4 linked regions of the Sus scrofa genome follow. The protein of the gene in region 2 interacts with the protein of the main gene of each other region in a pairwise test. Links are inferred from orthologs where the notes say so. Each region holds a gene or a part of one and is shown on either strand. Other genes may lie near its edges. The genes, in order: FHL3, RHEBL1, TXNL4A and PRKAB2.

The links.
Region 1: the proteins of RHEBL1 (region 2) and FHL3 interact in binary tests that used the Homo sapiens proteins (3 or more experiments, as listed by UniProt). The two-hybrid records come from large-scale screens. The link is inferred for Sus scrofa from reciprocal best matches to the Homo sapiens genes RHEBL1 and FHL3.
Region 3: the proteins of RHEBL1 (region 2) and TXNL4A interact in a two-hybrid assay, tested with the Homo sapiens proteins (2 studies listed by BioGRID and IntAct). The link is inferred for Sus scrofa from reciprocal best matches to the Homo sapiens genes RHEBL1 and TXNL4A.
Region 4: the proteins of RHEBL1 (region 2) and PRKAB2 interact in binary tests that used the Homo sapiens proteins (3 or more experiments, as listed by UniProt). The link is inferred for Sus scrofa from reciprocal best matches to the Homo sapiens genes RHEBL1 and PRKAB2.

The regions. Positions count from the first base shown.
Region 1 is NC_010448.4:93,978,717-93,984,944, forward strand, and holds the end of FHL3 (four and a half LIM domains protein 3), read right to left. Parts: intron 4,411-6,228; coding exon 4,237-4,410; intron 4,149-4,236; coding exon 3,974-4,148; intron 3,156-3,973; coding exon 2,986-3,155; intron 2,859-2,985; coding exon 2,672-2,858; intron 2,547-2,671; coding exon 2,392-2,546; 3' UTR 1,921-2,391; downstream 1-1,920. UniProt on the Homo sapiens protein: Recruited by SOX15 to FOXK1 promoters where it acts as a transcriptional coactivator of FOXK1.
Region 2 is NC_010447.5:15,093,532-15,101,241, forward strand, and holds RHEBL1 (GTPase RhebL1), read right to left. Parts: upstream 4,255-7,710; 5' UTR 4,011-4,254; coding exon 3,959-4,010; intron 3,342-3,958; coding exon 3,270-3,341; intron 2,928-3,269; coding exon 2,860-2,927; intron 2,455-2,859; coding exon 2,372-2,454; intron 2,283-2,371; coding exon 2,226-2,282; intron 2,024-2,225; coding exon 1,976-2,023; intron 1,632-1,975; coding exon 1,550-1,631; intron 1,390-1,549; coding exon 1,300-1,389; 3' UTR 867-1,299; downstream 1-866.
Region 3 is NC_010448.4:127,986,551-127,994,277, forward strand, and holds the start of TXNL4A (thioredoxin-like protein 4A), read right to left. Parts: upstream 4,563-7,727; 5' UTR 4,466-4,562; intron 4,076-4,465; 5' UTR 4,060-4,075; coding exon 3,907-4,059; intron 489-3,906; exon of another isoform or gene 419-488; intron 1-418. UniProt on the Homo sapiens protein: Plays a role in pre-mRNA splicing as component of the U5 snRNP and U4/U6-U5 tri-snRNP complexes that are involved in spliceosome assembly, and as component of the precatalytic spliceosome (spliceosome B complex).
Region 4 is NC_010446.5:100,379,460-100,386,471, reverse strand, and holds part of PRKAB2 (5'-AMP-activated protein kinase subunit beta-2), read right to left. Parts: intron 3,421-7,012; coding exon 3,254-3,420; intron 2,429-3,253; coding exon 2,335-2,428; intron 2,097-2,334; coding exon 1,976-2,096; intron 260-1,975; coding exon 126-259; intron 1-125. UniProt on the Homo sapiens protein: Non-catalytic subunit of AMP-activated protein kinase (AMPK), an energy sensor protein kinase that plays a key role in regulating cellular energy metabolism.

The sequences.
Region 1 (6,228 bases), on a different chromosome or scaffold from region 2:
TGGGGGAGTGGGGATAAAGCTTGGGATCTACCGTATTTCCTCCAACGTGAAATGCTATCGAATGTTAACCCCACCATTATTTGACATTCCACTAAGAAAGAAAAAATTGTTAATTAAATCATGTCACACGGTTGATTATATGCTGTGTCTGGGTTTCTGAGATGTTAAATCTGAAAAATGTTTTTCTTGAAATCAATATCACATTGTACCTGTGCATCTCTTTTCTCTTAGGTGGGTGGACCACCTAAGCAACACCATTTACCTGATGCCTTCCTTCCACTAAAACCTTCTCCTTCCCCATTCCTTCAAATAAGTCACCAAGTCCTGTCTTTTCCACTCCTGCTGCCACCTGCCTCAGTTATCGCTCACCTGGACCGCTGCACTGGCCTCCTAAGCAGCCTGATTATCTTGCCGCTCCAATCAATTATTCACGCTGCAGCCTGCAGCGGAGTGATCATCTCACCGCCCTGCTTAAACATTTCCACTGGCTGCTTTACCCGCAGGGTGAGTTCTGTTTAACTTGGCGTCTGGCTTTTCTTGACCTGGCCTCTGCCTGCCATTTTAGTCTCTTGGCACTTCCTCCAAATGAAATTACTTGCCGCTTCCCCAACGGACACCGTATGGTTTTTCACGGCGCCAGGGCTTTGCACTAGCTGTTTTCTATGCTTGGACTACACTTCCTCAGCAAGTATTTACTGAGCATGTAGTGAGTGCTGGGCGCTGAGAGACGAGAGGTGAGAGAGGTGACCAAGGCAGGCGTGAGCCCAGTCCTCCTAGAGGCAGATGGAAGAAAGAGACCAATATATCAACGTGTGATTATTAATTATAAGCAGACATGGCGGGCATTTGTAAAGGCTTGTTGAAAATGTCCATCAACCACAGCTTCGGAAAGTTTAGGATTCGAATTGTGCCCGGAGGAAGTGTGGAACGGATTAGAATCCCGGATCTACCTAGGTGACTGGGGAACTGACAACTGGAGACTCCTCTGTGAAATGGAAAAACGCCCGCCGCGTAGGATTTCTGGGAGGATTTCATTTGAGATACATATAATCACGCGGTCCTGTCGGACAGGAGGGCCCCTCCCCCACAGGGCGCCAAGGGTCCGCCCGCCCGGCGCTGGGGGCCCCCACCCGGGAGGCTGCGGGCGGGACGTGAGCGCCTCAGCCCGCGCCCGCCGCCAATGCGCACGAGTCGGGCTCCGACAGTCTGGACCGCGGAGCCCAGACCACAGGCCGCCGAAGCGCTGGGGCAGGGGTGTTAGACGCCGGGTGAGGGGAGCAGCGCTCCGCCCCATCTCCCCATTTTGGGGGACAACCCCCCTCGCTCCTTCCCGCCCCCGCCCTTGAATCACGGGGGGGCGGGGCCATGACCCATTCATGCCGGGAATCGGATCCAGATGTTCCCGCGGCGCGTGCAGCTGCATCCTTGCCTTTTTTGGCAAAAAACGTGCGGCCGCGAGCGGATCCCGGGCCGCCTCCGCTAATCCTTGGGAAGAGGGGGAAGGGGGTTTTGGGTCTGTACCCAGACTGGGGATCCGCGCCGGGTGTTCTGCGGGATTTGAGAAAGGCTGTTAAGGGAGGGGGCGATTAGTACTATACGGGGAACCCGACGCCCCCCGCCTCCCTTCTGCTCCCGTCGGGAACCTCCCCTAAGCCCCTCCCTTCCCCACCCGGAGGAAAAAGCCCTTTACCAGCAGGAGGGAAGCAGGCTAAGTCTGAGAGGGACAGGAGCGGCAAGGCAGCCGGAATCCCCTTTCTTGGGAGAGACTTCCCACCCCGCCTGGCAGCTCCCCCCGCCGCGCTCCGCCCCCGCGCCGCGCCCGTGCCCTGAACCGAGGTCTGGAAGGGCTTCGGAGTCCCTGCTGTGCAAAGAAACCTTTCTAGTCCCTCCACCCCCAGACAAACACACAGAGGCCTTGGCTTCTTCATACTGCTTTATTGCAGAATCTGAATGGTGGGGTGAGCCAATCCCACCCCTCTGCCCATCTCTGGGCAAAACAGAGCTGAACTGAAACGAGAAAACACTTGACAACACGGGCTGGGCAAAACTGTACCCTAGGACCCCCCCTAAGCACTGAACCTCTCATCTGTTGCCCAGAAAGCCCCATCCCTGTGGAGAGAGGTGGGATGAGGGTGGGGAGGGTCCACTTCTGAGGACTTTTCAGTCACCCATATAGACTGAGTTCTGGGGTCCTGGTTTGGGGGGGATTTAAATGATGGAGGCTCCATTAAGCCTGGAGTACCAGATTGGGGATGTTGGAGTGGGGAGGCTGAATCCTGGAGCCTAGGGGGAACCCCATTTGGGGCGGGGCTGGGACCCAGAGGTGGTCTGGAAGAGGAGCCTTAGTCCTGGAGCCCTGGTATGGGAGGGCCTGGGCCCAGGAGCCCTGGCTCAGGGCCCTGCCTGGCTGCAACCCTGGCACAGCACTTGGTCTCCATCCGGCACGAAGCCTTGACCCACCAGGGAGGTGGAGCAGCGGGCACAGGAGAAGCAGCTGTGGTGCCAGTGGCGGTCTTCAAAGGACACATACTTGCCTCCGCCGAGTCCTGGAGGGAGGCTGGAGTTTAGCTCTGCAATCTGGAGGGTGGGCCTGTCCCTTGGCCTCACCCAATACCAGGTCCTATTCCCTAGCCTCCCACCACCCCCTCCATTCTCTGACCCTGTGTCCCACCTGTGATGGGGCGCTTGCAGCTGCTGCACTTGGGTGCAAAGAGTTCTCCAAAACAGGCCACACAATAAGGATCATCGTCCCGGGAGGTGAACTGCTGCCCTGCCAGGGGCGTCTGGCACCCTGTGCAGACCAGGCATTCTCGATGCCAGGGTTGGTCACGGTACGTCACGCCACCCTGTGTCAGCGTCTGTGGGGGGCAGCATCCGTCAGCAGAGGGGTGGGGAATTCCCACGCCAGGACAACAGAGCCTTGATCACCCCCACCCCTGAGTGCAGTGGAGATCAGCGCCCCCACCCCACTGGCCCAGCCCCCACCTTGCTGCAGCGGGCGCAGCGAGGCGCGAACTTGTTCTCATAGCAGGGCACGCAGTAGTGAGCACCCTTGTCGGGCACAAAGGAACAGGAGCCCAGCGGCTGCTCACAGCCGCTGCACAGGAAGCAGTGCTCATGCCACGTCTGGCCTCCGTACTCCAGCTTCCGGGACCCTGTGGGGAACAGGGGTTCCACTCAGAGGCTGTGTCCTAAGCTCCTGAGTGCCACCCTCTGCTCCCCCCAAGGAGAGTCCCTGCCACTCCCACAGCCTACAGGGTGGTGTCCATGCATTTGCGGCAGGATCCCCACTACCTGTACCACACTTGGTAACCTGGTTCCAACACCGCACATGCTAGGCCCCCACAAACTAGGGGGCCTGAGGGTTTGGCATATTCGAAGTCCCCATATGTACCAGATATGATGATCTCAGCACACGCCAGGCCTCCAGGTCTCAGGTGCGATGACTCAGTTTATGTTAAAGCCTTACACACCAGACCTGATGGTGTGAGCACACACACACACAAAGACACCGAATACCAGGCAAGCAAGACTCTGCCCACACAAAGTTCTAAAGGCCTGGACATGATAGATTCTGTAGGTAATAAGCCTCTGCATATTCGAATCATGCCAATCTCCATGCGTTCTAAATCCTCATATTACATTGGCCATGCGGATCGCCAAACACAGTAAGCCCTGTATCTATCTGTCTCTGTATCTATCTGTCTTTGCCCATGCCAAGCTCCAAGGCACCAAGCAAGACAGTCTCAGCAAACTCGAAGCTCCTATATGTGCCAACATGCAAGTCTTCATACATGCTAAGACCCCGGATGTGTATCAAGCGTGTCAGTTCCCGTGAGTGCCAAGCTCCCGAGAGCCTATGGACACAATAGATTTTCAGGAACGTGCTGCATGTGAAGGGCTTTACCAAGCCTCCAAGTATGTATCGGATGGGCCTGCCAGTCCCATGCACCACGAGCCCCCAGGAACGTACCAGGCATGACGGTCTCTCCGCAGGCGGAGCACTGAGAGGAGAAGGCGCTGCAGTAGCAGTCGTTACAGAGCAGCTCGCTATCCTGGCAGGTGAAGGGCTCGTCGGCGAGGGAGCGCTGGCAGCGGCAGCAGCGGAAACAGCCCTCGTGGAAGTGGCGATCCTCGTAAAACAGCTCCTGTGGGGAGCCCGGCACGGAGACTGGCACCTTTGTCCCCTCCGGCCCACCTCCACCTGCTCCCTGCCCTGCGTGGTCCAGTCCTTACCCTTGAGTCATGCCCGATAAGCTGCTGGCACTCAGCGCACGTGTTGGCAAAGGTGTTGTCATAGCAGGGCACACAGTAGGGGCCGTTGTCCGTCTGAATGTATTTGCGCCCGTACAGGGACTCGCTGCATTTTGCACAGTCAAAGGTCTCGCTCATGGTGGCTGTGATGGAGCCCTAGGAGGGACACAAAGTGGGACCGAGTCATCCAGAGGGGCTGGGGCGAAGCCCATTGCACTAAAAAAGGAGCAAGAGACGAGGCATAGGAAATGAAGGTGGCGATGGGTAATGGGTGTTCTGGGGTCCTGCAAGTTTATTTCTGTATTTAGCATTAGGGGTGAGAGGGGGTCAGTAAAAAAATCAGGAAGCAGAAGTTCTTTTCTTATCTGGGCCCTGGCAGATCTGGGGGGAGGGGGCTTTTCCTGGGTCAGTGACTCATTTCCTGTCCCTGTATTCAGCCTGTTTAGCTTCCACTGTGCCTACTGTCCCCAAGGGGGGCAAGAGTAGGGGGCAGGGAGCCACCCCACCCTATCCCATATGAACAGCACTGGGTCACGCTCTCCTGACTCCCAGGAGGGAACTCTAGGGTTATACCCAGAGCTCTGCAGTGCGGAGCTTAGGGATGAGAATGGGCTGTTTGCACCCGCCTCCTGATCCAGGAAACAGTGGAATGTAAGAAGGATGCTGGGCCAATGAATGGTGGAGGTGGAGGAGGCTGATGGGAGAAGTCGCATTGGGCCACCCCTCCCAGGAGAAGCCAGCAACAAGGGCTTCAGAGGCTCGGCCAAGGTAATGCAGGAAGGAAATCCTGCAAGCTGGACACAGCCAAGCTTCCCCAGCTGGACCCTCTGCCCTCACCCCCCTCCAACTCCTGCTGGGTCTCTGATCACACCAGCCTGGGCAGCCTTGGCCTGCAACATCTGCAGCAGCTGTGGCAACACAGATGGCCAGATGTCAGGTTTTGCCAGCAACAGGGAAGAAAAAAGGGAAATGAGATGCTCGGGGAGGGAGAGGGGAACTGGAGATTATGGGGTGTGCCTCCTGCCATCTTCTGCCCGGGCGTCACTCCTGGCAGCAACTGGCAAAGCCCCAGAATCTTTCCATCCCCTGGGTCATTATTTCCCTCCCCCTGCCTCTGGGAGAGACAGCTTCTCCCCGGCTTCGCAAAGAGTTTGCGGCTGGGGGAGTGAAGCATGAGAGAGTGGGAGCCACTGAAGACATCTCTCCAATCGGGCCCCCTCAGAGGTAGGGAGTCAGGCAAGGGGGGCCCTGAGAGCTGTTGCTGCAGACACCCAGCCCCCCACCAAACCTCAGACACTTTCCATTTTCTCAGGAACAAAGCATGTTTGTGGGATGAGGTCATCCGCACAGCTGCCTCTGCCGCAGGAGCTTGGGGAGTACAGAGTGTTAGGGAAGTGGGGTTCCCAGTCCCTTCTGCCCCAGTTCCTAGCCCTCCATTCCGAGCTCCCCACCCCCACCTCCTCCAATGTGAAAGCCATTCTCTGAGGTCTAGGATCCCGGGGTGTGTGGACAGGAACCACCAGGACCAAAGCGGCGGGGGGGGGGGGGGGGATGTTCTCACAGCTGCCGATGAGCCCAAGCCCGGGGTGATGAACCCAGCCTGTTCAAAGGAACCCACCAACTCACTCCCCCGGATTAGACCCCAGTAACTGGCACTCCCTAGAGCCTGGCCTGGCTCAGGTTGAAGGAAAAGCCCTCCTTTTCTCAGCCATCCCCAGCAGAAAATTCTAGCCAACAAGCGTTGCTCTGGCTTGGAGTTCAGACTCCAGGCGCCAGCAGACACCCCGAGCCTGCAGGGCCTCGCTCTTCGGAAGGTATGGGTCGTGAGCTCACAGCTGCCCTTCTTCCATGACACTCAGTTCATACCCCAGGCCAAGGCATGAGGCCGCCAGGAACTGGGGTCTTCAGAGCAGGCTGGGGGCCAGCTGTAGGGTAGAGGGTACGCCTCCTCAGTTGGTTCCAGCAGTTCAGGCC
Region 2 (7,710 bases):
CAAATGTTTGAAAGGTATGAAAGGAGCAAAGAGCATCCCTTTTATGGGTCTGAGGCATGTGGAAGTTCCCAGGCCAGGGATCGAACCATACCACGGCAGTGACAACTCCAGATCCCTAACTGCTGCACCACAAAAGCACTCCAAGAATATCCATTTTAATGAAAGGCATTGAAGACGAGGGTGGGGAGTGGGGATTGATATACATCGGGGCATTTTTTTCTTCCTTTCTCTTTTCTTTCTTTTTTTCTGGCCATGCTCCAGGGTGTTTGGAAATTCCAGGGCCAGGATCAAACCTGTAGCACAGCAGTGGCCTGAGCCACAGCAGTGACTGTGCTTGGTTCTGAACCCACTGGGCCATCAGGAAACTCCCAGGGCATTATTTCTTACTTTACTCGACTCTCTTTAGAAAGCTAAAATCTTCACAACACTTTAGTCCCTGCCTTTTCACTACTTCACTGTTCTTACATGATTAGGAACTAGGGTCTTTCTTCCTCCAGCCCAAACCCTATCCTCTCTGAGTTCCAGCAAATGCCAAGACCCCAGGAGGGAAGCTAGGTCAGCATGTGGCAGCTGGCCACTAGAGGGTGGTGTTTCTGTAGTTAAGGGGATGGTGAGCGTCTACAAATTTGGGAGGGAGTGGCAGCCAACAGGTTACCTGTATGGGCGAAAGGAGTAGAAAAGGAAAGTGGGAAAGGTGAGGAGGAGATCCTAGGGTTATGGTCCTGAATGAGTGAGGAAGAGGTAAGGAATGGTAACAAGGCAGGAAGAAAACATTTGCCCTGATTCGCTACCAAAGGCCATAGCCATCAACTCCTTGGAAAAGGAGCTGTTGGCATTGAACTCTCCCCAGATACAGAGAAGTCAACTACAAAAGGATTTCTCAGTTTATTTGCATATATACATTGTCACTCCAGAGAGTCACCTCCACTTCAGGAGTCCCCAGCTCCCCTCACCCAGCCAACATCCAAAACCTACCTAGGCAACTGGGTCCTAAATAAACAATGCCCAGGACTCAAATCCCAATCCCACAGGTTATAACAATTCATTTACTTAGCAAAGACAGAGGGCTAGAGGACACTGCCCGTGAGACATCCTTGCCCCTTTGTAAACATTGACAGCCAGGCCACGGGAGCCTGGGCAAGTGTGCAAACATGAGGGTACCACACTGTGTGCCCAGAGGGCCAGGGACACAGCTGGTAACCAAACCCGTGAGGTCCTGAGGCCCTGCCCCCCAAACCTCTGCTGGAGCCTGGCACATGCCAGGAGCAGAATCAAGGCAGCTACCCCATGCTCAAGGGTTCACATGAGATGGCAACGGTGCTCTTGGCCATATGAATTCTCCACCCGGGCAATCTCCTGGATGACTTTGGTGAAGATGCCTTGAGTCAGCTGCAAGGGATAAGAATTCAGGGCAAAAAAGTTGGTTAGTTCACTGCCAGTACTCTGAGGTGAATACCCTATACTCCCCCACCATCCCCACCACCAAGCGATGCCATAAGAAAAACACTGCTACCCCCCCCACCACCTTCCTAATCTTCAGGCCCAGCACCTGATTATCTCGAGCAGATGACTCCATAAATGTTGCACCCCAGGACTCTGCCAGCTTCTTCCCTTCAACAGCCTGGACCTCCCTGGAAGCAAATTTGGGACATGAAAATGAAGGAGAGCAATGTCCCCCATGATCTTTGCAATATCTCAGTAGAAATCAGATTTCCTCTGATCTATCTCATTCCAAGGTTTGGGAACAGGGTTGGAAGAGGAGAAAATGTAGAAAAACAAAGGAGCCTAGGACTGAGGCTTAAAATATAAAACTATAGCTTTTGCCATAAAAGGGTGATTTTGTTTTAGCCTTCAAGTTAGAAGTGAAAAGAGGTAAAATGACTGGTTCAAGTCAATGGCAGAGCCAGGACAAGGACCTGACTCATTCCTAGTTCAGCTCACTTTCCTTCGCCTGAAGCTACAGAGATTTCCGTACCTGTCTGGAGAGAGATCTGCCTTGTTTCCCACCAGCACCACTGGCAGCCTGTGAGGAAACAGCAGTTACTACGGGATCCCCTCTGTCTCCCATGGACCCCAACCTCCTTCCCATCAGAGCTCGATAATTCCCCATCAGACCAGAGAGAATCTATGTCCTGGCTTCCTCCTTAATTTGGATCCTCAACCTCCCTCTGTCTGCTTTCTCCATTCACGTTTACACTATATCTTTAGCCCCCAGTGTCACATACCGGGTTTTCCCATGGCCTTCATGTAGCTTTTGGTACAGACTCTCAATGACTTGGAAGCTTTAAACACAAGAAGCGAAGCTATAACCTTATTCTGGACCAGCCCTCAGATCCTCCCAAGTACCCCGCTCACAACCTTGGTCACTTACCTATGCAGAGAGGTGACAGAATATACAAGCACATAACCATGGACCCCAATGATGAATGAATAGGGCAGAATGCTGTACTCATCCTGACAAGAAATAGAAACATCAGTACCCAGATCTACAACACTCAGATGGCCAAGGTTGGTGGGCTGCACCCTGGGGACTCTCTGTGGCACACCCTACTCCAGTCACTTCTATTCAGCAAGTATTTACAGAGTTGCCCAAATCAGCGCTGCACGCTACTAGCTGCTAAAATGCTTTTGGGATGAGCCACAGAGGGTGCCAGACTTCATCTCCCAGGACTGAACTGCAACATTTAGATACCCTAGCCCAGGGAGTTGCCTGGTGACCTAGTGGTTAGGACGCAGTGCTTTCACTGCTGCAGCCTGGGTTTAGTCCCTGGTCTGGGAACTGAGATCCCACATTAAGCAGCTTCACACTGTGGCTGAAAAAAATAAATAAATAAAGGATACCCTACCCCAAACTGGTACCTGCCCTGCTGTGTCCACCAGGTGTAGGTGAAACTCATCTTTGCCAAGAGTGACTATCTTGCTGTAAGCTGAAAAGAAAAGAAAACTTAACCGTGAGGTGCCTTGTAGGGCTAGAAACGTGCCCTAATACATTCTTAACCCTGGGGGTGACTTAGATGGGTCAGGGCCAGGGAGCTGTCCAGGAAATTGGAAAGACAACATTAGGCTTCTTATTGTCTACACAAACACCATCCTGGACTCTTGGAAAATGCATACTCTAGCTCCACTCATAGAACAAGATTGCTAGAGAAGAGGTTAGATTTAATGTCTAATTAAATCATCCCCTTGGCACAAGGAAAATCCCAAACGGTGGAATTGGGTGGGGCACCCAAGCTCTCCCTACCCTGTCCCTAGGGGAGAAGTCTACTCACTATTCTCCACAGTAGGATCATAATCTTCTAGGAACTCGCCCTCCACAAATTGATGTGCTAAAGATGTCTTCCCTGTGGAAAGCAGAGGTAGTTGTATCCAAATCACCCATCGACATTCACATCCTCTGTCCTTTAGGGGTGTGACCCTGGACTAAAGGGGACCCCAGATTAGCATCCTGGTCTGTAAATGCCCCCATGCACTGCCTTCCCTTAGCCTACCCTCACCCTCTTTTCGCCCTGGTTCTCTGCACCTTAACCACCGTATGCATGCATACAGGAGCGCCGCAGGAAGCCTTTCCCGCCGCCTTTCCCCACCTCACTCCTGGAAAGATCCGGGATTCCCTAGGTTCCTGTCTGCCCTGCACTGGACACCTAGACTTGCCCCACCCAGAATGCGTCCCCGTCATCGAATCCTAAACCCACCTCCACCTCCCAGAGTAACGCTGAGGACCGCTCGGGCGTTCCAACAGTCAAGCCCACGTTAACTCTTACAAGCTCCCGCTTCCCGCAGCCTTCCACACACTACCAACAGGCCAGCCTTTCTCTCAGCAACCTCTTTCAGTCATCGCTCTACAAGCTGGTTCTAAGGATGCCACCATTCCTTGCCTGGGGCGCGTTCCCGCGGCAGCGCGCCTCCTCTGGCCACAAAGCCACGGTGCATCCATGCTCTCTCCCAGGCGGAGACTCACCTACAGAGCGGTATCCGAGGATGACCACCTTCCTGTAGCGAACTAAAGGCATGGCAGGAGCCGGCCCCCAGGGGCTTGCCGAACTTCGGGCTGAGAGAGCCCCAAGAAAAGAAAGCCGAAGTACAAGCAGGCGCGACAACCGGCACAGGAAAGTCGCTCACCCCGAGCTGCCAAAGGCAAGCTAGAGGGAAACCAAAACAAGCGCCGCGCCCGGAGTTGGCCACGTGATCACAACACAGCAAGACTAAGGCTAGGGAGCCGGGCGACCGGTGAACTACTCTGCCGCGCCGCCCCGGGCTCCGCCCCCCAGGCCGCTCGCTATTGGTCCATTAGAAAAGATAAGGGCGGGGCCGTAGCAGGAGGGAAGGGTGGGCCTCACGTGGAGCGGGAGAACAGCGAGCTGCGCAGGCGCAGTCTAGACCCGGTTCATTCATAAAGAAACAGAAAGGAACCCGGGGTCCTAGAGATGTTTGCGCTTTTGCAACCTGGCAGAAGTGACGGCAAAATATCATGGATGGAAAATACCCATGTGGCCAGGCTGGAATTTCTGGTCAAACGATTCTAGGCTTCCCTTTTGCAAGGTGCCAGGGTCCTTGGGTAGGGGAAGAAAAGGCCAAGTTGCAATACATTACCTCCACTTCCCCAGCCTTCAGCCTCAGATATCATATTGTCAGGTTTCCACAGTCCTCCAGGATCTAACTTCAGAACAGCAATTTTTTTTTTTTTTTTTTTTTGGTCTTTTCAGGGCTGCACCAGAGGCATATGGAAATTCCCAGGCTAGGGGTTGAATCGGAGCTGTGTCCGCTGGCCTACGCCACAGCCACAGCAACGCCGGATCCGAGACACCTCTGCGACCTACACCACACTTCACCGCAATGTTGGATCCTTAAACAAGTAAGCGGGGCCAGGGATCGAACCTGCGTCCTCATGGATACTAGTCAGATTCCTTTCCTCTGAGCCATGACGGGAAGTCCCAGAACTGCAATTCTTATTCCTGGGAAAATTTTTAGAATTTGTGGCCAAGTCCTCTGGGTTTCGCTGTCATAAGCCACGTACTTATTTATTCAGCAAATATTCATTAAGCGTATTCAATATGTTTTAGGCATTACACTTACAGTGATGAATATGACAGATAAGGTCTCATGAAGCTTAAAATCTAATTGGGAAGAAAGAAACATGAACGAGTAAACGCTAGGAAGCTTCCCTTGTGACTCAGTGGAAACAAACCCGGCTAGTAAACACAACGAAGAGGGTTCGATCCCTGGCCTCACTCAATGGGTTAAGGATCCGGTGTTGTTGAGCTGGCTGTAGTTCACACCTGCGGCTAGGATCCCATACTGTATCGCTGCAGCTGTAGCACAAGCCTGCAGCTATAGCTGATTTGACCCCTACCCTGGGAACTTCAATATGCCACAGGTGAGGCCCTAAAAAAGAAAAAAGAAAAAAAGTGCCATAATAAACAGTGTGAGGTCTGTTTAGGGTTAGGGTTAGGGTTAGGGTTAGGGTTAGGGTTAGGGTTAGGGTTAGTGCGTGTGTGCCCAGGAAAGTGCGTGTGTGCAGGCACAGCCAAAAAAAGAAAAAAGAAAAAAAAAAAAACTGTGATAAGAAAAGACCAGTTTAGATCAGTGACACTTCCTCTCAAAGGATGCCCCACTTAAGCTGAGGTCTGAACTGAATGATAGTAAGGAACAAGCTAGCAAAAGATTCAGAGAGAAGAGGAGTTCCCCCTATGGCACAGTAGGTTAAGAATCTGGCTGCACCCAGAGTTCCTGCTGTGGCACAATCAGATTTGCCTTGTCGCCGCAACACCAAGAATCAGGTTCAATACTGGCCTGACACAGTGAGTTAAAGGCTCCTGCTCAGATTCAGTGCCTGGCCTGGGAATTTTGTACGCCTTTGCTTGGGGGAAAAAAAAGGATCAGAAGGATGAGACAGGAGTTCCCATCGTGGTTCAGTGGAAATGAATCTAGTATCCATGAAGACGCAGGTTTGATCCCTGGTCTCAATCAGTGGGTTAAGGATTTGGCATTGCTGTAAGCTGTGGTGTAGGTCACAGACATGGCTTGGATTTGGTGTTGCTGTGGTTGTGGTGCAGGCCAGCAGCTACATCTCCGATTAGACCCCTAGCCTGGGAACCTCCATATGCCAAGGGTGTGACCCTAAAAAGACCAAAAAATTAAAAAAAGAAGGATGAGACAGAGGAATCCATCATTACTATGATGCTCAGATGGAAATAAATTTGTTAAATTCCAGAGGAAGGAGAGCGATAAAGGCTAACTGCATTATTCTTTCATTTATCCACAAATATTTATCAAAAAACCACCACATCCCAGGCACCCTTCCAAGTGTTTAGAATAGAGCGGTGAACAACACAAACAAAGTGTTTGCTCACAAGGAACAAGCATTCTTTTGGGAGAAGACTAACAATCTACAAGTAAGCAATTAATGAGTTACAATTTTATTTTATTTATTTATTTTTTTTTTTGTCTTTTTGCTATTTCTTTGGCCGCTCCCTCGGCATATGGAGGTTCCCAGGCTAGGGGTCTAATCAGAGCTGTGGCCACCAGCCTACGCCAGAGCCACAGCAACGCAGGATCCAAGCCACGTCTGCAATCTACACCACAGCTCACGGCAACGCCGGATCATTAACCCACTGAGCAAGGGCAGGGACCGAACCCGCAACATCATGGTTCCTAGTCGGATTCGTTAACCACTGCGCCATGACGGGAACTCCTGAGTTACAATTTTAAAAAGTAATAACTGCAATGAGAAAAAATAAACAAGACCTTATTGGGATAGAGAGCAACTTGGGGGTGTGATCCTCCTCTTATTTTATGCAATATCCTAGGAAGCATGAGGAGGTAACATTTGTGCCTGAGACTGGAGTAAATGGGTAGCTATTATCACCTTTCTCTTACAGATGTGGAAAGTGAGATTTAGTCATACAGCAGCACACAGAAGTTATTTCTTCTGGAAGGTCCTGATGAGGTGCGTATGTAGGAGTTTGATGGTGTTGGAGGACAGGCTTTCTAAAACTATAGAACCATCTAATGCCTAAAAATGTCCAGATTGGGGAGTTGCCATTGTGGCTCAGTGGTAATGAACCTGTCTAGTATCCATGATGATGGTGATGCAGGTTCAATCCCTGGCGTTGCCCAGTGGGTTAAGGATCCGAGGTTGCTGTGAGCTGTGATGTAGGTTGCAGATGCTGCTCAGATCCTGCATTGCTGTGGCTGTGGTGTAGGTCAGCAACTACAGCTCTGATTCGACCCCTAGACTGGGAACTACCATATGCCACAGGTTCGGCCCTTAAAAAAAATGTCCAGGACGGGAGTCCCTGTTGTGGCTCATCAGGTTAAGGACCTGACATTGTCTCTGTGACCTGGCCTGACCTGGCCTTGCTCAGTGGCTTAAGGATCTGGTGGTGGTGTGGCTGTGGTGTTAGGCCAATAGCTGCAGCTCTGATTTGACCCCTAGCCCAGGGACTTCCATATGCTGCAGGTGTTCCCATTTAAAAAAAAAAAGTCCAGATTGGAGTTCTTCATGTGGCACAATGGGATCAGAGACCTTTTGGGAAAGCTGGGACACAAGTTTGATCCCCAGCCAGCCACAGTGGGTGAAGGATCCAGTGTTGCCACAGCTGCAGCTTAGGTAACAACTGCGGCTTGGATCTGATTTCTGGCCTAGGAATTCCATTTGCCAAGGGGCAGCCAAAAAAGAAAAAAAAAAAAAAATGTCCAGATCCATAAAAG
Region 3 (7,727 bases), on a different chromosome or scaffold from region 2:
CTATTAGAATGCATGACTATGAGACAATATTACTGAAGTTCTGCATATTCTGAACTCTATTTCTGTGGGCTTTTTAAACATACAAAAATGAAACATCTCACTTATTCTTACATATAATGGGACTTAGGTTAACAGTGAGATGTGACGTGTTTTCGTGCAAAATGCCAAGTACAAAAAATAGTCTCTCTGTGAAGCTGTGCATAAAATCACCCACTAAACAGGAAATTTTATTTTAACTGTTACTCTATCAAACTCAACACATCTATAAAATCTCTAACATATCTGTGTTTTCGGTACAGCTCAAAACTAATCCAGCCTGAGATAGGAGTTGGTGCTGTCGAAGCAGCAAGTCAACAAACCACATTGTAGGAGAAAATGTATAATCAAGTCCAGCCTCTACATTGGAACTTTTACTCACTTTAATACAGCTGGGGTTTCCAAACAGGGCTCGTAACAAGGTGAGGAGGATCCCCCACTATCTGCCATTTCTGCAGAGGGAGATGTTTAAATAGACAGTTAAATTGTTCTTCATACTAAAACCTTAAATTTCAAAAATTCCTGAGTTTCCCCCAATAGGGCTTCCAGAACTATAAATTCATATTTTGCCATTAAGAAGAAAAATAAAACATTAATATTAATAGTCTTATAATGCATTTCAAGTTTACATTTTGAATAACTATAATCTAGTATTGAAGGTTTATTAAAATACAAATCCAAGTTTTGGGCAAAAGAAAAGGAGTAACTTTAAAAGACCAAAGAGGAGTTCCTGTTGTGGTTCAGTGGGTTAAGAACCCAACTAGTATCCATGAGGATGTGGGTTCAATCCTTGGCCTCACTTAGTGGTGCAAGCTGTGGTGGAGGTTGCAGATCTGGCTCGGATCTGGGGTTGCTGTGGCTATGGTGTAGGCCGGAAGCTACAGCTCCAATTTAACCTCTAGCCTGGGAACTTCCATGTGCTCCAGGTGGGGCCCTAGAAAGAAAATAAATAAATAACCAACCAACCAAAGAAAAGTACTTGAAGTGAGCTCAATTAAATGTTCTTATCAACAGGTTCAATACCATAAAGCACATATCTGCTGTACTACAGCCATGTGGTCTTTGAATGATATAAAGGAATTAGAAAAGACCAATTCCGGAGTTCCCATAGTGGCGCAGTGGTTAACGAATCTGACTAGGAACCATGAGGTTTCAGGTTCGATCCCTGGCCTTGCTCAGTGGGTTAAGGATCCGGCGTTGCCGTGAGCTGTGGTGTAGGTCACAGACGTGGCTCGGATCCCGTATTGCTGTGGCTCTGGTGTAGGCCGGCAGCTCCGATTCAACCCCTAGCCTGGGAACCTCCATATGCTGAAGGAGCAGTCCTGGAAAAGGCAAAAAGACAGAAAAAAAAAAAAAAAAGAAAAGAAAGAAAGAAAAGACCAATTCTGGTATAAGTCCCTAAAACTCACACTGATTCAAAACTTGTCTCCTAGCTAATAGTTTCTTCTGAGTTTTGCTCAGATTTGAAGAGTAAACAACCCTTACACCTCTCATCATCCTCACCTGGTGCTCACCTGCCACCTTTAAGGCAGAGTCCATCACACACACCCTAAGTTACTTCAGAGTCAACAAGGCAGCATCACCACTTAGTGGAAGTGTCTTCATTCAACTTCATTGGACTCTGCAGTACCTGCCCTTGACCACTGCCATACACAAACGACCCCCGGCACCTCACTCTTAACTCTGACCCCTGCGTTGTTGCTGTTTATCTTTTTAGGGCCACACCCAAGGCATATGGAAGCTCCCAGGCTAGGGGTCCAATCGGAGCTATAGCTGCCAGCCTACACCACGGTCATAACAACACCAGATCTGAGCTGCCGGCCTACACCACAGTCATAGCAATGCCAGATCTGAGCTGCATCTGCGACCCACACAACTGAAAGCAACACCAGATCTTAATCCATGGAGCAAGGCCAGGGACTGAACCCCCATCCTCATGGATACTAGTTGGGTTCCTTACCACTGAGCCACGATGGGAACTCCTGGGAAGACTGCCGTGTGAGAACCCTGCCCCCCTCCATTTCCTCAGGCACCTTCTCATGCTCCCTCAATGTCTTGAGAAGGAAGAAGGTGGAGCGGCTATGGTCACAGCACTCCTACTGATCCCAACCTCATCAAGGGGATTCTCAAAGTCACATCAGATTTCCCAGGGGAAGGAGTTGTCTTGTGGTGCAGAGAGTTAGGGATCTTTGCAAAGGCTTGGGTTGTTGCTGTGGTGAGGGTTCGATTCCCGGCCAGGGAACTTCTACATGCTGTGAATGCACCCAAAGAGAAAAAAAAAGAATTCCTGGGGAACTTCTTTAAATCCCTGGCCTGGGAACTTCTACAAGCTAGGAGCCTGGCCAAATAAATAAATAAAAGTTAAAAAAAAAAAAAATAAGCTATCTCTGGACTTTACCCCAGACCTGTACAATCAGAATCTCTGAGATGCACTTTGGTAAGTATTTCAAGTTATATACTAACACTCACAGAAGGACAGTCCCTAATGTTCTCAGTGCTACCACCCTTATGTCACTCTGCCTCTCCTACCAAATGGGAGGTAGTGAAAATTACTGATGGCAGGTCAGACAGTTTTTCCTTTCCTAATACAAAAGTATACCCTTATACATAATCATTACTCCTCAGTCATTATTTTAACAGAACCTGTATTAGTACACCCTATTCCATCCAACATTTCCCTTACTTTTACTCTTCATTAAAATGAATGCCCTCTCAATTACTGTAAGTTCAACATTTTATTAGCGCCATAATATATTTGCCTTTTGCCCTATTGCTACAATTGCAAAAATCCAAATCAAAGTTATCTTAAAATCCCCTTGAGAAGGAGTTCCCTGATGACCTAATGGTTAAGAATTCAGCATTGTTAGTGATGTTACTTGGATTTGATCCCTGGCCCAGGGAAACATGCCTCCAACAGGGCCAAAAAAACAATTCCCATGAGATAACTCCAGAAAAAGAATTAAACCCTGGTTATTCAACAGTGCCCTACAATTGCATTTTATTGTTAACAAACAAAAGCTACAAACAACCCTGTGTACTACCGATAAGAATTAGGAAAAACCGGAGTTCCTGTCATGGCTCAGTGGAAACAAATCCTACTAGTATCCATGAGGATGTGGGTTCTATTCCTGGCCTTGCTCAGAGGGTTAAGGTTCTAGTGTTGCCCTGAGCTGTGGTGTAGGTTGCAGATGCGGCTGGGATCCTGTGTTGCTGTGGTTGTGGTGTAGGCCAGCAGCTGTAGCTCTGATTCAACCCCTAGCCTGGGAACTTCCATATGCTGCACATGCACCCTAAAAAAAAATATGGCAGGTGCAGCCCTAAAAAGCAAAAAAAAAAAAAAAAAAAAAAAGAGTCACTTTAAGCTATAAACCAAGTCACTTACAAAGAGCATGATGGGGTAAAGAAAAAAGGAAAACCTACCGAAAGAAAAAGAATGGAATTTACCATGCTGGTAAAATAAATGTTCTGCTTTATAAATAAAACAGATAAACACAGTACAAAAAAAAAAAAAAAAACTAAGCTAAGATAAAGTCTGCAAATGTGTTTTACTTGGCACTACAGATGTGCACTTTAGAAAACACTCTATCAATAGGAATTATTAACTTACCTAGGGAGAGTGATCATGAACGTTTTAGAAGTTTGAAAATCTATGGTAACTCCTCCCACAAAAAGACAAACTATTCTGACCTATTTCAGGGAGCACAACCTCACATCCAGGATAAGACTGTCTGTGAACCTCGCTTCTTGTCTTTGGTGAACGAACGTGTTGCAGGCGAAGAATGAGTACAGCGTGCACTTCAAACAAAAGCAATCCAACACGACGAACCGAGCAAACCCACCGCGGGGCGGGGCGGGGCAGGGCTGCGTTACCTTCTCAGCTATGCTGTACAGAACCTCGTCCATCTTCATGCAAGTAGGATCCCAGTCGTGTCCAAATCGAATTACCACCACGCGGTCTTCTTCCGAGAGGATGGCCTGATCCACCTGCCAGCCATTGTGCAGGTGCGGGAGCATGTACGACATCTCGGGGCCGACGGGTCTGCAGGGGGAACCCACCAACCAGCTCCTCCCAGCTCCACCGCAGCGCACCCGCTGGGCCCCACCCACGAGGACACCTCCCCAACGGGGACCCTACTCCACGAAGGCCTCACCGGAAGGGACCCTCACTCACCCGGACCCTCACTCACCCCATTGGCCTCACCCACAGGGACCCCTAACCCACAGGAGCCCAACCCACAGAGGCCCACCCCACAGGGGCCTCACCCCACGGGGCAGCCAGGACGGCCAGGCCCGCGTCCACCTCCTCCCCGGGCCCCGACCCCAACACTGGGACGCCTCGCCCCGTGGCCCAGAACCCAGAGCGAAGGAACCCCCGGGGTCGCACATCCGCCCCTCCACCCCAGCAACCAACCGAGGGTCCCGCACCAACCTCTGCCTTCCCTGTGATCTCCCGCGCAGCAGTCCCTCCAGGAGCCGGAATGCTCCAACGAGTGCGCGCGCGCAGGCGTGTACGTGCGCGCTCACGGAGTGCGTGCTCGCTGACGTGTACGTGCGCGCCTTTGCCCGGGTCGGATTGGCTCTGGGCTTCCACCTCTTCAGTAGGGAGGACAAAGTTGAATCGCATGTCATGGGGCGCCACCGGGACCTGCAGTGTGGGAGCGGACAGAGGATGATGTGGTATTGTCCACTCCCACACAAAGTCCCTCAAGTTAATCGTTTTGGCGGTCGTGGTATAATACATATAAAAGTTACTGTTTTAGCCACATCTAGTTCAGTGGCTTTGGGTGCATTCACTTCATTCTGCAACCATCATCCCTGCAGATACTTCTTTTGTTAAAAAGCTTTGTTGAGGTGTTACACACTGTAAAGTGGTTTCACCGATTTAGAATAAGATAATTTTCCAGGAGTTCCCGTCGTGGCTCAGTGGTTAACGAATCCGACTAGGAACCATGAGGTTGCGGCTTCGATCCCTGGCCTTGGTCAGTGGGTTAAGGATCTGGCGTTGCCATGAGCTGTGGTGTAGGTTGCAGACGCGGCTCAGATCCCGCGTTGCTGTGGCTCTGGCGTAGGCTGGCGGCTACAGCTCTGATTCGACCCCTAGCCTGGGAACCTCCATATGCGGCGGCAACGGCCCAAGAAATGGGAAAAAGACAAAAAAAAAAAAAAGATGGTTTTCCACAGAGTTGTGGAACCAACACTCCAATCTGATTATAGGAAATTTTCATCACCCCTAATCCTGTACTCTTTAGCAGTCCCATTTCCCTCCCATCCCTTTGGCTTCTGGCAACCACGAGCCAGCCTAGATATTTCAGGTAAGTGGAAACATCAATATATAGTCTTTCATGACTTCTTTCATTTCGCATAGTGTTGTCAAGGTTCACCCATATCGTAGCCGAATCAGTACAGTTGACCCTTGAGCAACAGGGGTTCTAACTCACACGTGTACCACGTGTACTTCAGGATGGCAGTTGGTTAAATCTGCAGATAGAAAACTGAAGGACCAACTGTAAAATTATGCATGGGTTTTTGACTGAGGATAGGGTCATTGTGGAAAGGTCAACTGTACTTAGTTCCTTTTTATTGCTGATTAATGTTCTGTTGTTCGGATACACTGCATTTAACTATCCATCAGTTAATTTTTTTTTTTTTTTCTTTTAGGGCTGTACCTGCAGCATGTGGAAGTTTCCAGGCTAGGTGTCAAATCAGAACTGCAGATGCCAGCCTACCCACAGCCATGGCAACACTGGGTTTGAGCCACATCTCTGACCTATACTGCAGCTTGCTGCAAGGTGGGATCCTTAACCCACTGAGCAAGGCCAGGGATTGAACCTGCATCCTCTCAGACACTATATCAGGTTATTAACCCACTGAGTCACAAGGGAACTCCCTGTCCATCAGTTAATTGACATTAAGGTTGTTTCCACTTTTTGTGCTTTATAAGTAATGCAGCTATAAACATTCATGTGTAAGGTTTTGTATGGATTTAAGTTTTCATTTCTCTTGGGTATATGCAAGTAGAATGGCTGAATCACATGGTAATTATGTTTAATGTCTTGAGGAATTGCCAAACCATTTTCAAAAGTGGCTAGATATGCCATTTTGCATTTCCAACAGCAAGGTGGGGTTGGATTTCTCCATGTCTTGGCCTATTCCTGTTTTTGTGTGCATTTTTTTTTTTTATACAGAGTGATATCCTGGTGGATGTGAAGTGATGTCTTCTTAAGGTTTTGACTTGCATGTTCCTAATGGTTAATGATATAGAGCATCATTTTTAATTGGCCATTTGGAGAAATGTCTATTCATCTCCTTTGGTCACTTAAAAATGGATATTGTCTTTTTATTGTTGCGTTATAAGAGTCCTTTACATATTCTGGATATAAACCCCCCATCATATGTATGATATGAAAATATTTCCTCCTGGGAGTTCCTGTCGTGGCTCAGTGGAAACGAATCTGAATAGTAACCATAAGGACGAAATTCCATCCCTGGCCTTGCTCAGTGGGTTAAGGGTCTGGCATTGCCATGAGCTGTGGTGTAGGTCGCAGACATGACTCAGATCCCACGTGGCTGCGGCTGTGGCATAGGCTGGCGGCTACAGCGCCAATTCAACCCCTAGCCTGGAAACATCCATGTGCCAAAGGTTCGGCCCTCAAAACACCAAAAAAAATTCTTCCCATTTTCTGACTGATTTTTTACTTTATTTATTTATTTATTTTCCAGCCTTGCCAGAGTCATGCGGAAGGTCCCAGGCGAGGGACCTAACGCATGCCACAGCTGTAACCAGGGCAGTGACAACACTGGACCCTTAACCCTCTGAGTTATGAGGGAACTCCATGACTTTTTATTTTTATTTTTATTGGTATCATTTACAGCAAAAACTTTTTTTTAAATTTTATTTATTTATTTATTTTTGGTCTTTTTTTTTTTTGTCTTTTTAGGGCTGCACCCGTGGCATATGGAGGTTCCCAGGCTAGGGGTCTAATCGGAGCTGTAGCCACCAGCCTACACCAGAGCCACAGCCACACCAGATATGAGCTGCATCTGTGACCTACACCACAGCTCACAGCAACGCCGGATCCTTAACCCACTGAGCAAGTCCCGGGATCGAACCAGCAACCTCATGGTTCCTAGTTGGATTCATTTCTGCTGTGCCATGACAGGAATTCCAGCATAAAACTTTTAAATTTTGATTAAATCCAGTGTATTTATTTTTCCTTCTGCTATTTGTGCTTTTGGTGTCATACCTAAGAAACCATTACCTAATTCAGGGTCACGAATATTTACTCCTTTTTTCTTCTAAGATTTTGTAGTTTTGGAGTTCCTGTTGTGGCTCAGTGGAAACGAACCTGACTAATATCCATGAGGACACAAGTTTGATCCCTGGCCTCTCTCTATGGGTTAAGGATCCAGCATTGCCATGAGCTGTGATGTAGGTCACAGACAAGGCTTGGGTCCTAAGCTGCTGTGACTGTGGTATAGGCTGGCAGCTGTAGCTCCGATTCAACCCCTTGCATGGGAACTTCCATATGCCACGGGTGTCGCCCTAAGACCAAAAAAAAAAAAAAAAATTTAGTATCCATAAGACTTTATAGGAGTTCCCTTGGTAGCTCAGTGGTTAACAAACCCAACTAGAATCCATGAGTATATGGGTTCAATCCCTGGCCTCGATCAGTGGGTTAAGGATCCGGTGT
Region 4 (7,012 bases), on a different chromosome or scaffold from region 2:
TGATAAGTATATGATTTATACTCAACATAACTTTTTAATAATCCCAACTTCTAGAATTACATAACTTTGGCTCAAATGGCCCTAGTGACCCCCAGATGCCCCAATAATACTCTTAGGATACTCACAGATATATTAGTGTCCTTGTTAAGAATAACTTGGAGAAGGTGGGGAGGCAGGATGGGTGGGGATTTGAATCTCTCCTCTGATCGAAACACATACATTTCTTGACCATAAGGCCCTGGGGGTGAGCTGGAAAGGTCTGGAAGATATTTATACAAATATAAGGGAAAGATGGGAAGCTACAAAAAATGCAAGAAAAAACTGTCAATACATGGCAGCTAATACTAAATATGGTAAAAGACAAGAATCATAAAGTTGGAGTTCCTACTGTGGCACAGTGGGTTAAAGCAACTGGTGTTGCCACAGCTGCAGCAAAGGTCACAGCTTTATATAATTATTATTATTATCTTGTGGCCACGCCCAAGACATGCAGAAGTTCCAGGGCCAGGGATTGATCCCACACCACAGCAGAGACAATACTGGATCCTTAAGCTGCTGCACCACCACAAAACTCCCAAACAGATAATTATTATATTATTAATTATACTTTTAGAACCTGCACAAGCCACCCTTGTGCCCTGAGATTCTAATATGCCCAGTTCAGGTATTGTGTCTCAGCTGAGAATCACAGAAAGTCTAAGCCTCTGATTTTACTGATAAGCAACTGAGAACCAAAAGCATTGAAGGTCTCATCTGTGATGGCAAAGCTAATTAGTAGCAGAGGCAGACTTTGCGTTCACAAGGAAGAAGTGTGCTTCCTTGGAACACACTTCTTTAGACAATCAGAGCCTTTACTGTAAAGTTACAAAATCGATAACTGTGAATATGGATAGCAAATTATTTTTCTGGTGCTATAGCCAATGTAAGTAGAGATGAGGGGCTTGGAAAAAATATTGTGAGAAACAAAAGTATATAGGTCTTTCCTCTAACAAGGAAATTTTTTTTTTTAACCAAAAACTTTAAAAACTTCAGTTAACATACACACAATAGAAATATGAGTTTTTTTTTTTAATATAATGATTTTTTATTTTTTTCATTATAGCTGGTTTACAATGTTTGGTCAATTTTCTACTGTACAGCATGGTGACCCAGTTACACATACATGTATAGATACTTTTTTCTCAGAAATGTGAGGCTTTTTTTCTACAGACTGACTTAAGTATAGGGCCTTATAAAATTATAGAACTGCCAAATGAGCTATCAAACTGGCAGGATTAGGCTGAGGCAGTTAAAGAAGGCAAACCAAACTCAACTAGCCCCTGCTAGTTGACACTGTTAAAGGTCAATGAAAAACGTGAAATATTACTAGAAAGAGCTTTTAAAACTACAGGAGTTCCCATCATGGCTCAGTGGAGACGAATCCATGAGAACACAGGTTTGATCCCTGGCTTTGCTCACTGGGTTAAGAATCTGGCATTGCTGTGAGCTATGGTGTAGGTCACAGATGCGGCTTGGATCTGGCGTTGTTGTGGCTGTGGCATAGGCCAGTGGCTATAGCTCCAATTCGACCCCTAGTTTAAGAATCTCCATATGCCACAGGTGCAGCCCTAATACAGCACAGGTGTAGACTATAGCCTATTAATGGTTTGTAAATGAAGGATAAAATAGAAAACAGGGTGCTTTACATGTAATAAAGGCAAACATACTGCAAGACTTACGGTTACGTTATGTGTGTGTTTGTGTGTATGGGGTTATAATGTAAACTTACTACAGATCCTGGTTAAAAAGTTTGAAATCAAATACACTAGACAGATTTTTTTCTCTCAGAGAAGGGGACCTAAATGGTTATAGGAGGAACATACACATATAATTCAGAAATTTCTGTGGAGAAAATGAAAAAATAAAAACCACTCTTGGAAAGAAACATGCATGATAAGAAGAACACATCAAAAAAGAGCAAATACTACAAAATTACCTCGACAAGATGTCTCTGAGCTTTCCATTGAATCTAGCTTTAAAGCATCAAACACCTCAAAATCAGATTTCTTGACATGGATCAAATTGTTAATTGTGCCAAGCTGACTGGTAACCACAGGCTGAAACAGTGAATGGAAAAAAAATACATGAATCCCCATTTCAAATCTATCTCTTCTGTTCAACTCTTTTCTTTTAAAAAATGATCCTACTTGGCAGCACCATCTTTTATCAAGAAAGAAATCCTCCGTGTAGGAGCCCATCAGTCCTGACAGCAATGTTGTTTGACACCAAAAGGAGTAACAGCAAAAGGGGACAGACTGTTAAGTCAGTGGTTACCCTCAGAGATCAAGGCCTTACCTCTGATGGATCATGAACCCACTGTCCATCCACAAAGAACTTATACTGATGCTCTCCCTCAGGAAGGTCTAGGATGGCAACAAAGTCATTATGGCTACAGAAGAAAGCAGAAAATTAGTTGGCCAAGCTCCTATTAGAAGACTGAAAATAAATGTAAAAATCATGAGGTAATCACTATCATACCAGTGATCTCCCACATTCCTAAGTGATTGCACCCTCTGGAGTAAAAAATAATTTATAAACCCATTCTCCTTTTTCTCTATCACCTTTTGCATGTACTTGCTAGCCCCTCCCAGTAACTTTAGTTCTTAACTAATATCTGGAAAAGTACAGTAAAGATGTTAATCCCCTTGAATGTTCCACCTTAGCACAACTATTTTGCTTCAGCTGAATAGATCCCTCACAAGTGTAAATAAGACAGCAAATAGGTTCAGGATAAGAAATGCCCTACCCCTTGTGTATTTTGGTGAGCATTTTCTAGGAAATTACCTACATACAAAGGGCCATAACCAGTACATAATTCATTATTGCTCTGCCAGCAACAAATAACATTACTATCTAGACCTTTACAATGTGTTTTGTTTTAGTGCAGAAGTCAGAGCAATAGGACTCAGCTAGTTACAGAAGACTTCCCACAAGCACAGAAAGGACTAGTATTAACACAATCCTAAAGAATGTACCCACAAAGCTGTTATAAGTCCTTCTGAGGCAATGGCATTCTAAGTGGTAAAACATCTCTGACTCGTTGCTATGAGGTTAAAAACAAAAAAATGTCATAGATATAGTTATTGGTCACAGAAAATATTCTAGAGAGTCTGTAGCAGATGGAAAGGAGTATTCCAGTCAGGTCTCTCTTGAGAAAGGAAATCAGGTCTCTACTCCTGGACTCTACAGACTCAACCAAGACACTTGTCTTCACCTCTTAATCAGTGGAATCTTGGTGCTCCAATTGTTGAAGGACCCAGAGATGAAGACCTCCTTGCCTCCTTCAGACCAGCGGATAACAGTGGGCCGAGCCTGCTGTGTGGGTTTTACGGAGTCCTCCAAATCCTGCTGCCATGATACAAACTCTTTGTCCCCAGGGAGCTGTAAGAAGGATTAGGTCATCCCTAAATTGTGACCCAGGAATTCTGAAAAAGTCATTCTCCTCTCTAGGGAGGAGAGGGGTGCTAGGTTTCTGCTAAGTATTAATAAGCCTTGATATTAGCAACTAAATCAGATTCTGAACAAACTATAGAAAAAGAACTCATCTAGGACCAAAGTGGTTCAAATGGCTTATACTCAAAAGCTGCCCACATAACAGCCCAACTTCTGACTCTGCATAAATCACTCATCCTTTCAGAACCTTAGGATTTCCCTTGAAAAACAAAAAACCTTGCTTCTTGTTACCAGATGAACTCATAGGCAGACAATTACGATATGCTTCTAAGTATCACTTATGAGAAGAAATATGAAAATAAAGAATGGTTCTACAAAAATAAAGTTAGCCATGTATTTTTCATATGCAAATATGAGACGCTCTCAGTTATAAGCTGTAATGGAAATTAGAGATACTAAAATTCATATGTAATTCATAATCTCCATTTTAGTTAATAGGTTACGAAGGGACATTAAAAATATAAAAATCAGGAGTTCCTGTTGTGGCGCAGCAGAAATGAATCCAACTAGGAACCATGAGGTTGGCGGGTTCAATCCCTGGTCTCGCTCAGTGGGTTAAGGATCTGGCATTGCCATGAGCTGCAGTGTAGGTCGCAGAGGAGGCTTGGATCTGGAGTTGCTGTGGCTGTAGTATAGGCCAGCAGCTACAGCTCCGATTAGATCCCTAGCCTGGGAACCTCCATGGCTTCTTAAATTTTGAGAAAGGGTTACGAAATCTTACTTGCTTACCCCTGCCAGGTTTATACGAGTTGTTTTAGGAGTAGTGATAAAGATTCTGGAGCCATGGAGTTCCCGTCGTGGCTCAGTGGTTAACGAATCCGGCTAGGAACCATGAGGTTGTGGGTTCGATCCCTGGCCTTGCTCAGTGGGTTAAGGATCCGGCGTTGCTGCGAGCTGTGATATAGGTCGCAGATGCGGCTCGGATCCCGCGTTGCTGTGGCTACTGCTCTGATTCAACCCCTAGCCTGGGAACCTCCATATGCCAAAGGAGCCACCCTAGAAAAGGCAAAAAGACAAAAAATAAAATAATAATAAATTAAAAAAAAAAAAAAAGATTCTGGAGCCTAAAGGAACTACCATCCTTTAGTACAGGAATTAGCAAACTATGACCAGTGAGCCAGATGCTTTTATAAATAAAGTTTTATTGGAAAATAGTCATACTCATTCACTTATTTTATTTCTCTCTCTCTTTTTTTTTTTGGTCACACCCATGGCACATAGAAGTTCTTGGGCCAAGGATCAAATCCAAGCCACAGCTGTGATCTACGCCACAGTAGTGGCTGCGCCAGGCCAGGAATCAAATTCATACCTTAGCAACCTGAGCCACTGCAGAGACAAAACAGGATCCTTAACCTGCTCTGCCACAGCAGGAACTCCATACTTACTCATTTTCTATAGCCGCTTTCATGCTAGAATGGCAGAACTGAGCATTTGTGACAGAGATAGTATGGTCTGCAGAGGCTAAAATATTTACTATCTGGCCTTTTACAGAAAATATTTGCTGACTCTCACTTTAGATTGGCTTGAATGACTTTGGTAAATAGGTAAATAAGACTGTATGGTATTAAACCAAAATATTACCAGATAAAATGAGTTAAAAAAAAAAAAAACTAGTTTGTTCATATGGGCTTTACATTAAAAATGGCAGAGGTAGTCTACCTTCTGTACTGTCTCTCCATATTCCTCAAAACTACACTACGAGACACCAGTAGCAGCATAAATCCAAAGTAAACAGAGAAAAAGAAGGGACTTCCACGTTATATAAGGAAATGGCTTAGAGAATTTTTTTTTTTTTTTTTTTTTTTGTCTTTTCTAGGGCCCCACCCGCAGCATTTGGAGGTTCCCAGACTAAGGGTCTGATCAGAGCTGTAGCCACCGGCCTACACCACAGCCACAGCAACGTGGGATCTGAGCCGCATCTTTGACCTACACCACAGGTCACAGCAACACCAGATCCTAACCCACTGAGCAAGGCCAGGGATCGAACCTGCAACCTCATGGTTCCTAGTCAGATTCGTTAACCACTGAACCATGACGGGAGCTCCTAAAAAATCTTGATCTCCATTTTCTCAAAGCAATGAGTTCTTGCTTGACAGGCTGCATTAGAATTAGAGAAATTTTTACATATGCCTAAGAATTACAAATGCCTCAGATTCTGATTCAAATATAGGGTCTGGGAGTCTATTCTTAAAAAGCTTTCCAGACAATAACACTGTGATTATGTTAAAAATAAAGAAACCTCATCTCTAGAAATGTATCCTAAAATACTAATAAAGTAATATTTGATATGATAGTCTGGAATTTGCTTCAAAATAATTGGTGAGGGTAGAGTGGATGGGGGTATATAGGTGGTACAAATTCATTCATGATTTGATCATTGTTTAAACTGGATGACAACTATACAGGAGTTCATCACACTGTTCTCCCTGCTTTGAAACATGGACAGTGTTTCAAATTTTCCATGAAGTGTTTAAACAAATTCCAGCCTATTCTAATTGAGAACCAGTAACTAGTCCACTGAAGAGGATGGCCCCACTGCCACTGTTTCTATCATTTACTTGTATGATTTAGTATTTTCAGTTTAGAATTTGAAAGCTACAAACTATTAATATGCTTAGCTTTGGAAGAAAGCCCTTCCACGGATAACGTGACATTTCTGTGGCAGGCATGAGTGCAGCTGACTAGCAGAAAGATTGTTTACTCCAAGTTCAATAGTCAGCAAAATCTTCAGGAAAAGTGGCAAAATAATTACAACTACAATTGAAAAATGTTTAAGTGAAACATTTAGGGAAGAAATAAAGAGAGCACATTGAGTATAAAATCTTAGATTCTGAAGAGACTTTAAGAATTATCTGAATCCATTTTCTTATTTCATGAATAGCAAGACTGAGGTAAGGGAAAGAATGATCCAAATAGACTCCATTTCAAATAGAGCAACCTGCTTTTATTCAGGATGCCAGTTACTGCAGTCACCATTTGACAAATAATACATTACTTAGATCCTGAGTCATCAATGTAGGGAAGTGGGTACAAAGCTTTGAAAGAAAGCTTTGAAGAATTTTGAAGAAGTTCAGATGGCTGAAGAGACAGCCCAAATGTTGAGAAAGAAGTCCCGAAGTGGGAAAAGAAAGGAATGGAGGAGAAACACCGAGAAAACATCTTCACTTCTTTTTGTGATTATGTTCTCAGTTGGTACTTGAAAAAATAAACTGGAGAATCCATATTTCCCACGCTATCAACCTGGCAAATTATTCTCTCTTTAGGAAAGTAAATAAAATAAAACCCCACACTGGTAGGAAGGGATAAGTGACAAGAAACATCAAACAGACCCCCCAGCTGCTCAATCTGTTTTTCTACTTCATTTTATTCTACCTGGAGGAATTAATGTATTTAATGCCAGCAGCTCTAAAAGGGATTAGAAACATTCAGGTGGTAATCACATTGCTGTCAGCTCCAACTTTGCTTTTTGTGGGGTGAATACAAGTTTTCTCCTCCCTGAAACAAGTCCTTGGAATTGAGA